Linked DNA regions of Drosophila melanogaster. The protein of the gene in region 1 purifies or fractionates together with the protein of each later gene. This does not show direct contact. Each region holds a gene or a part of one and is shown on either strand. Other genes may lie near its edges.

Region 1 (5,286 bases):
CGAGCGAATTTTCATGGCGCCAGCCATTTCGAGCCAACGGGTGCAATGCACTGCACTATTGTAGTACTCGCAGGACACAAACAAATAAACACGCACACTTATGCACTCCAATAGAGCCATAAAAGAAAACGTGGCCAAGTTGCCACGCTAGTTGTTGCTGCAGCCAAAAACTATAAACGAGGCAATGACTTGGTGACTTTTTGCGGCTGCCTGCCAAATGGAACGTCTTATGGGTTTTTTTTTTTTTACCGACCAGCCTGCTGACTAATGACCATTCTACAGTCGCGGCTAGCCGCCTTTCGTTTGATTCATGGTCCTAGAGCCCATAATTGCACTTATTCATTCATAGTTGCAGCACCGGCCAGCGAACACAAGTCATTGACTGGGTCGAAAAGGATATCTGTGGGCTTTCCCGGAAAAGGCGAGCTGGAACAATGCCACTTTGTCGTTTGGCTTGTTCAACTTTTTCAATTGCGCGCACAATTTCCATGCAATTAACGGCGAACAAATGCAAGCGACAAAACCTGTCAACGGGAGGGTGTAATATAGGGTATAACGTAGCTAAAAGTTGGCCCAACAAGGCGCATTGAATATGTTCAATGGACGTGGCCAAGGGGGTGAAAGTGGGAGAAGGGCGAGCGACGACAGCGAAGCATAAAAAGCAATTTCATGCACCCATTGACCCCCACAAAATGTTGGTTACATGGGAGGGTGGGGGAGGAGAAAATGAGTGGGGGATACAGTGTCAATAGATAGTTGTTTCAGCGATGTCCAACCAGCCAACAGAACGCCCACACATCCACGCCCACTTGTATCCAAACAACAAAGCCCCTTACCAATTGTGGGCTCACTGCCATTACTCATACGCCCCGTGTGCATTGTCAAACATTTATGACGTCCATTTTGGCGAGTGTATTAGTGCTCTAGTGTGTGTGTGTGTGTGTGTGTGTGGGTGCTTGTGTGTCGTCATTACCATCATTTGTCTGTAGGGCAAAATACCCATCCACAACCCATTCCATCTCATCCGATACGATCCCATTCCTGCAATTCGTTTTGTTGTTGCCTAGTGACGTTCGCCATTTGCCAAGTGAATCGAGTGAAAAGGAAAATCGATTCCAACTGACTGCCTGTTGCTGTCTGCTACTAGTTTACCTTTTAATTAAATTTAACGCCCATCGAAGGACCACCCACTACCGAACACCCAACACCCACCGCCCACCACCCACCACCCACCACCCACATTTACTATTCATTATTGCCCAGTAAACAGAGCAGTAACAGCCACAAAAGAGAAGTAAACTGCACACAACAGAGAGAACACAGGGACTAAGTTTGCTTTATATGCTGTGGCAATTTCTCGGCCATTGTTCGTCATTGTCTGGGGCAACTGTTGATGTTGTTGCTTCGTTGATTCGTTGACTTTGCAGTACATAAGACTAGTCATTCGGTACAACTCGAAATACCCTTTTTTTTTTTTGTTTTAGTTTAACTTACATGCATTTCTCTATCAGGTTGCTGTGTAAACGGCGTTGTCTATTCGTTCGTTGTTTGTTGTTTATGGCTTTCCTTAGTTGAGTTAATTAATTTGGTTTTATTTGCTGTTGTTGTTTTGTTTTTAATAATAAAAGCGTTCTTGTTCTTTAGGTATTTTGTTGGCTATTTACAAGGCTTTGGTTGAATTTCATATACTTAAAAAACTTGAAAACTGTTCGGTAGAAAGACATTAATTATGGATTTTAATCACTTATGTGTATTCCTTATTTTTGTTAAACACTTCAGCGGCGCTCGACATTTGTTGTTTCTCTAGCGAGCTTCGCTTGTCGTCTAAGTGTAAAGTTGAAGTTGAGTTGTAATTATGTTGCATGCTGCCACTATTGTTGTAACACTCACACACACAGACGCGCACATTGGGGAAATAAAAGAGCGAGAGCGCGCGAGTGAGCGACTGAGAGAGCACACTGCAGCTGGCAGGAAATACTGGGACGTTTTTGTGGCAATACTGGGTTTCACCACACACTGAACGGAGGCCAAAGGCCAACGCGGGTTAGCCAAGTTAATCATACGCACTGTTGTACATAAAAAAATATTTACTCCGATTTGAATTAAAATTTCGAGGCATTTTAAATTGAATGGAGAAAGTTTAGTTACTAGAATAGTTTTTGTCATAATTGTTTTGGCTAACATTCTTTAGTTTTGATTGTGTGTGGTGAACTTTCTCTCTCGTTAACTGTCGCTCTCCCCTGACTTTTCATCCACATTAATAGTAATTTTTTTCCATATGAAATTGTTTTAAATTTATGACCTATCAAAGCAATTGACAGTGTCAATGAAATCTTCTATATTTCAAATTATAATTACAAAACTCAAGGATGAAGGACAGTCGTTAACTGCGGTAGACCTCCTTGAGTGTGTGTTAGTTTATTTTTCTGCATATTTAATGCGTTCATCCGCACCGAATCCTGGCCAAAAGGATCACGGCCAACACAACAAAGGAGCACAGAGGCGAGAAGTCGAGGAGAGAAGAGAGCGGAGAGAGGCGAGTTTTTGGGTGGGATTGCGTGGCGTTGTGTGTACAGAAAAAAAGCAACCAGCTCACGAACGGCGGAAAAAAGTTGGAAAAAAAAGTGAACGAATCAAATTTTGTCGTGGAGACCAATGAAAAATGCAGAATTTTCTTACATTTTTTATACACTTTCTTGTAGGTTGTTGGAGCTGTTTTGCGTTTGTGGTCATTAGCTTAAATCACAATTGGTTTGCACTTAGATTTTATGTAGATTTGTGTGTGTATAACATATACGTATATATCTATATATATATGCTTGTATGTGTGGCTATATATATATATGTATATAACTATGTGTGCAGCATTCCATATGCGCAAATGAATTTTCCGTTTAGCGAGCTCATTTCGTTTTTTTTGTTGCTGCAATTTTCGCTTGTTTAATTGTTGTTCGCTGGCGCTTAAAGCCTGATGTTGCTGCTTTCTGCTGGTGTGTGATTTTGTTGCTGTTGCTGTACTGCCTGCTGCACCAACAACAACTAGATGGAGTGCGGCGACAACAACAACGACAACGACGACGGATGCGACGACGGCAACGACATCACGACGGCACGACAACGACTGAAAACTGGACCCGCAGCTGGAGCTGGAAAAGCTATAGAGCCCACGATATGGCCCACCTACATCAGGAATTCGCTTCGATTGTCGTCAGCAGTTCAGGAATTTCTCTCTCGCTATCCCCGTATCACTCGGATTCTCTCATGAAAAGGGACTCTCTCTCTCTCTCTCTCTCACACACACTGCCTGTCGTTCGCGTGGTGAATTGACCAGGGAGTTGTTAACCAGGCAAGTGGGAGCACATGTTTCTCTCAGTGTTATGAGTGGCTTTTCATATTTCATGTGCAATTTTAACACCTACTACAAACTAACTGCCGAGTGTGTGACTCCAACTTTCACCACACACCCCCAAATACCCGCCCCCTTTGGGCATTACATGCTCATATGGTTGTTTTGCGCAAACATTAAGCAACAACATCGTGTTGCATATTCATAAAATTCAACTCCTCATCCAATGGGGGGCGTGTGTGTTTATGGAAATATGTTCACTGTTCACTTCCTCCCCTTGCTTGCTGTTGCCAAAAAAAAAAAGAAAAGAAAAACAGTTTTTCATTGCATTTGGGGATGTTCTTGCAGCAGCAGCGCCAATTTGGAACGAATCGCTCTTTATTGCATACTTCGAGGGGCAGGGAAATGATCCCTTCTCAGCGAATATTATTGAAAAGATTTGGCAGCTCAATCGAGCTTAAAATTGCAATAAACTTGAATAGGTTAACAAGCTGCGAAATACAGAAATATATTATAGTTTTTATGCTAGAAATCATTATATATACTTATACTTAGTTGTAATTTCATTTATATTTATTTCTTCTAAAACTTTAGCAATTTCCTTTAAAATGATTTCGCTTGCTTAGATCTGCTTTAAATCCATTTGAGCCAAATCTATTTTTGGATGCCCAACTTTTGACCTTAACACATCACGTGCTTGTCAAAAATATCCAACACTCAAAGCCCACAAAAATTTGTACACTTCTGTTGCATATTTCTCAATTGGCTTGAGTTGTCGTCGCTGTTATCGCTTTTATCTGTCAGCTTATCGCAGCCATCATGAGATTTGGCGTAAATTGTCACAGCCACTCCAGGCCAGCCTTCCTTCACCAGTGCATTTCCTTTACTTTGGATGCCTTTGGCAGAGTTACAGAGAAATAAATAAGTAATATTACTAATATGCATACGAATCAATGCATAGTTATTAAATATATCGAACAAATATCTGCAGTATCTTATTTGTAGTTTAACTATCAAAGTCCCATATAACAATAGTTTTAGTTTGGGAATTGATCTAGGTACAAATTAAAAATATTTTTATTATAATACTAAAAACCATTTAATTAATAGAATATTACTTTAGTTTGTCTTAATTCAACTACAAATTTGTTCTCAGCGTATGACAGCTGAAAACAGAAAGATAAACGCGTTTCTGGCTGTCGAAACTCTTATTCCATTGCTGATAGCCTGCTCACGTGCAGTGTCTTCGGCTCGCAACACTCGCACACCCGCAACACTCGCACAGTCGCCGGCACACACACACACTGGCACACGAAGGGGAGCGATTGGATTTCCGGCGGAGATGAGAGCAAGCTACGTGGGCGGGGGGAGTGGCAGGTGGAGTCTGGGAGTGCCAGGAGCTGTATTTGGCCGCCAGCATTTTCCGATGTTGCCGCTTACTTTGTAAGTGTGCGTGTGTGTGCGTTTGTGTGTGTGTCTGGGCGGCTGACGTCATTGAGCTTTTTATTGATTTTCATTTTAACCAAAAAAAAAAAAGAAAAAACAAGAAGAAAACATACTTGGGCTAGGACGCAGGGCAGGAAGGCCAACAGATGTCATCCAAGAAAAGTCGAAATGCGCAATTAAAGAGAGAGAGAGAGAGACTGCAAAGGGGGCTTTCTCGAAGGAAGTTTTTGACAAGAATTTCTTGGGGCCAGCGAATGCTGTGTTGTAAGGTAATTACAAGGAAGAGATGCTTTACAATTTCTAAGAGTTAACTTTAGTTGATTTCAAGCTGCACGTGAATAAAAGCACTTCAAATACAAGTGAAAGCCCACAAACGTATTATGGTGTAATTTAATTTATTGTTTGCAAGCTCAACTGCGTAATCAGGCTGTTTATATAAGTGTACACATATAAACCTGATGTATTTTGATTTTTCTATTATTGTTTGTCAAACA
Region 2 (5,166 bases), on another chromosome or scaffold:
GGTCCCGACCTAAGCCCCCTGCCACACACAAGGCCGTGCCCAGGATTCGAGCCCCCAGAACCTGGCATCTTAATCGACAGACGCTGCATACCTTTTTGGGGGCCTGCGAAATCGCCAGTCAACTTCCCGGCCGAAGGGATGGGGCTCTCGAACAGGTCCAATCCAAACATCCCCCGATGACTGGCTGGCTAACAGGTAAACACTGGCTACACTCGAAAATAAAATGGTTCGGAACATGCATGAAAAAATCAACCTTATATAATCTTATGTTATGAGGATAACATTTCGAAATTTAGGCTTATGTATATGATTTTATCAATAGTAATTAGTTATACTTAAAAAACGTTCAGATTTTAAGTAGATTTTCTAAGGTTTTTAGTGATTTTTCCAAGTCTACCCCTGCGTGATTTCTTCTGCAGCATTCTGATGCCGTTCGTCCTTCAACAGACGCTGCTCCTTTCACACGCAACGCCTCAGCTCGCGTCCTTATTTTCCCTTTTCCACCTCGCGTTGGCACATTTTCCTTTTGCTGCCTCCTCAGCTTTTTTTCGCAGCTCCCCCTCGGCCCCTCACCACATTTCTTGGGGCCCATTGAATTTCATTGTGCGCTCAAATTGTTTTGGTATTCAAGCTTAAAGCACGCGACTGCTTCTATGCCTGTGGTCGGCCATCCTGCTCCTTGGCTCCTTGTGCTGCCACTGTTCCTTCTGTTTTCTGTTTTCCTTTTTTTTTGTTTTTTTTTTTTGCTGCTGCAGGTCCTGCCAGCGAGTGTGCTGGTGTGCGTGCGATGTTTTCGTCCTCGGCGATGTTCTCTGCCTTCCAGCGTATCCTGTTGCTTGCGAAACGCAACCAGTTGAACATTTCCAGCAGGACTCTCTGGGCCTCGGCTCCGCTCGGCTTTCAATATCGTCCTCCGGCGCTCTCTCGCGCTCTCGGGAAAGGATTTCTCTGCTTTTGCTCTCTCTGTTATTCGGCTGTTGCTTGGCACATGTTTAACGCGCAATTATTTTGGTCCTGTTGCGCTTTTTCCATCGCCTTTGTGAGAGTATGGGTGGCTGGATGGCTTAGTTTGTATTCAGACAAAGTCAACTTAAAGTTGCTAAAATAACGTAATTAATTCTGTTATTGAGCACTCAGAAATACACTTAGTTTCTGGTTTTAGATGGATTTTTAAAGTGCGTATATAAGTCCCTAAGGTAGCACTGGTAATCATTACTCCTTTTATTTAAGGATGAATTTTTTAAATGAAAATTCCCTAATACTTTGAATTCTAAACAAACGGTTCTTATAATTTGTTTTACTTTTAAAATTTATACTATACTTCCATTGCACAATTTAAATGTGCACCGAGTCATCAATCAGGTTGTTCCTCATTTTATCACTCGTTTATTTTAATAGAGATTAATTCATCAACATTACGATTATTATTATTATTATATTATATTATTCAATAAGTTCCGCTCCTTAAAAAGCCCCTAAATATCGTGATACCACCATCTCCATGGACATCCACATCATGATGGCCATCAGCATCATTGCTGGGCATGCAACAATTATGAAAAGTCTCCACTCGGGTACGCTTGTCCGCTCGTGTAGACCGAAATCGGCGGCAGGATGGCCGAGTGGATGGATAGAGAGCGCGCACCTTGTGGCAAGTGCGTGTGCGTGGGGGGGCGGGGCATGTGCGATAGGCGACGTTCGCAGCTGCCTGCATCCGCATCCAGGGAAATCGCTTAGCTGTTGCTTCGTGTGCGACTCGCAAGGTGGAAATTGATATTACTTTTTAATGCTGGGCCAGCTGGTGGCTGGCAGGACTTCCAGTGCGCGACAGGGAGGCGGTTATGCCGAGGAGCGGCCGTGCGACAGAGAGGGCGCGAGAAGCGAGAGCGCACTGCTTCGGCTCGAAGGACCAAAAGTGCCAGCCTCGTCACAGTTCGAGTTGAGCCGTCTCGCGAGCAGGACACCAAACGCGGAGGCTGACATATCCTGTCGCCAGGAACTTGGCAACTTGGGTACTTGGGAAACAGGAACCCAGGCTATAGGAGCTATAGCCTTTCTAACTTCTCCCGGCCAAGGTGTGCGTGTGCGCGAGTGTGGGTATCCTGGCTGTTGCTGCTGCTGTAACGGTGTGTGCTTTGTGCGTATGTGAGTGTGTGCGTAGCCGTGTTGTTGGCCAAACAAAAGCCAGAAGAAGTGACGAATAAATTTATAATCGCGCGCTTAACACACGCTACCTGAAAATATACATTTTGCAAAAAGTACTACTCTCACTTTAAGACTAAAAAATTGTTTAGACGCGCAGGTGAGTTGAATTCGTGTGTGCCAAAAATTGTTGTTATGAAAGGACTCGCGTGGCAGGCTAGCAAATAGTTTAATTTCCGGTCTGGCCATCAGGCGCACATCCGGTTTCAGTTTTATTTCCGTCTGTGCTCACTGCTCATTCACATGTTCCAGAATATATCTGCCAATTCTTAAATTCATTTCATAAATACGAATAGGACTTTTAAATTTGAAAGGGCAAAGCAATTTTTTCAGAGGTACCCACCACAAACTTAAACTTTTAAGCAGTAGTTTTCTTTTTTTGTTAAATCATATTTGCTATTTAATATTTAAGAAGAGTATATTTATGTGCCTTATAAAACTCCCAAGTACTTAAGAATTTTTCAAGACCTCGAATCGTTACTGCCAACTTTGTATTGGCTGGAAAAGTGCTTGGAAAAAGAATAAATGTATTGCAAAAGTCCCTGTCTGAATTTGATAAAATACCATTACACAAAAGGTATTGATTCCTGGTCCTGGCCCCTCCAACTAATTCCAAACGTATTAACCAGGCTTATGTCTTAGCCCTTGGGGGCTTTGAGAAAAGACGGCGGACAAACACCTCACAGGCTGGAAAATAAAACAACTTAATGAAGCAAGAAATTGAAAACATTATCAAGGCGATTAATTATTGATACTTTGATGTTGCCGGCCCCCGTCTAATTAATTTATAATTAAGTTAAGCATCTGCCCGGAGCTCACTCTTTGGATTTCGCTGCTTGAGCTTTAAGTCGAGGATGAGGAGCAACTTTAAGCTGTCTTCGGCACCTGCTTCAGCAATTTTTGCGATTGAGACTTTATGGACGTGACCCGCCTGCCGTATCGATGGCAATCAGATTGTTGGGCTGTTTGGGATGACTGGGGTGAGGCTTGGCTAATGCCTGCTTCTGGCCAGCCAACTGTCATTACTCTTGGCCCTAATCCCTGGCCGAGTTTGTGGCGCTCCACTCGAACGGATCCTGAGCCCCACAGCTGAGCCCCTGCACTTACACCTGCCATCGCGTCTGGTCGAGGTCTGCTCCAAAGTGCCTTTATTATGCCATTTTAATTTAGATTCCTATCAATCAGTAATAAGCATTGTGTCCACCCGCACAGACAGCAAAAAAAGCGTTAAAAACGAAGAGATATTAGCTATTAGGGTCAGGAGCATTAGCTTAATATCCGCTTGATTTTTATTACAAAAACTTGATTAAATTGGATTTCCACACTCAGCGGGCAAAGCGAAAATTGGGTTTAAAGTAAATTTCAGATTTATGAAGTCAGAGAATTTTGGGCTTTCTCTTAATCCATTAAATATTACTCATATTTCCGAACATGAAATGTATTTTTCCCCTTTCAAGGGTGAAACATCAATGTCATAATTTACGAATTCATTTGATTGTTTTTACAAGACTCACAATTTGTATTGATATTTCCCACAGTTTTCGCAGAAAGTTTTATAGCATTCGAAGGGAGTAAACAAAGTTGTTTAGTTTTCCTGTTTTGAGCGGATATGCAAATCAAGCGGCAAAACTCATTTCAGTTTCCCCACAAAATCGCCAACAACAAGAAGACAAGGGAAAAGTTAACCAAAACAACAAATGCTAGGCGAAACTGATGAAAAAAAAAAGAAAACTCATTCGGATCGTTTGCATAAATTTGCGTCTTATTTTGTTGGCAATTTATATGCGCAGCCGAATGACACACGCATTTTAATTGAAAGCAAATAAAAGACTCTATAATACATAATATGACAAGCCATAATCCTGACAGCAACAGTTATGCATGCTGACAGCTCGCAGCGTAGGGAAAATGTGGGGAAAAGCGTGCCGAAAACTGGGTCGGAAAAGCGGTGGACTGCCGCGGAGTGGCGGACAAATCCGGAAAATGGACAGCAGGCAAATGCTGACAGGCTGGCCAGCCCAGCGAGTCTAATGGCATTTTAAACAACTGAACTGATGGCCAGTTAGCCCGCTTTTCCCTCGCATGTGTGTGCCCATCGAAATGTATTCATTAATGTCGTCTGCAAAGTCAAAGTGTTTAAAATGTTCAACACGCCCGGGGCACATCCTGGTATCATTATATCCTTGGCCCATCAAGTACACAAACACACGCACGTACGTGTGCAGCCCCAGGATGCCCGCAAAAGGATTAGGCCCTTTGTTTTGGCCCTGCCTAGCAGATTTGGCTCATTCTGGTTGCGCTTTAATCAAAAGCAGAAATTAATTAACTTTGTGCCGAGGATTCCAGACTTATCTCTTCACGGCGTGTGTTGTGAATAATGAACGTTTCCCGGACTCTTGGATTGCGAGATGCAAAATACCAAATTGCCGCTTCATTTGCACAACAATTTTTAATAAAGCAGCAGCAAAGTGAACGAATTTTTTCCCGTCGACGACTTTTGACCGGGTTTTCCGGACGTAAACAAGCGGAGGACCCAAAAAAAAATAAAAATAAAATAACCAAAAAACTGCGGGCCGCAGATAAAAAACGCGTAAACAAATAACCGACATAAAGCGCATAAAGTGAATGATGCTGGCCACAGGCGCAAATATTTATTTTACATTTTTAAATAAGTCGCTCACATTTGTTGTATTTGGCCTGATGTCGACATCCCATTTGATATATACACATAAAAAACTGATGCAGAGTAAAAAATTCCGTTTATTTACATGCTTCTTATCTGCTTTAATGCATTTACTCAAAACATTCAATACATTTTTATATTCATAAAAACATACTGTTGATTTATGAATCAGCTTAAAGACAACATATAGGAAATACCTTACTGACTTTCTACCTTTTGGGCTTTAAATCGGGTGTATATTAATACTTATATAATTATCGGAACATAAGTTTTTCTTCAGT

What was found.
Region 2: the proteins of Rim (region 1) and Fife purify together in Drosophila melanogaster (affinity purification with western blotting; one study listed by BioGRID). This does not show direct contact.

What each region holds. Positions count from the first base shown.
Region 1 is NT_033777.3:17,913,460-17,918,745, forward strand, and holds the start of Rim (Rab3 interacting molecule), read right to left. Parts: upstream 3,120-5,286; 5' UTR 2,680-3,119; intron 1,706-2,679; 5' UTR 1,495-1,705; intron 1-1,494.
Region 2 is NT_037436.4:2,708,488-2,713,653, reverse strand, and holds the start of Fife (fife), read left to right. Parts: upstream 1-1,963; 5' UTR 1,964-2,302; intron 2,303-5,166.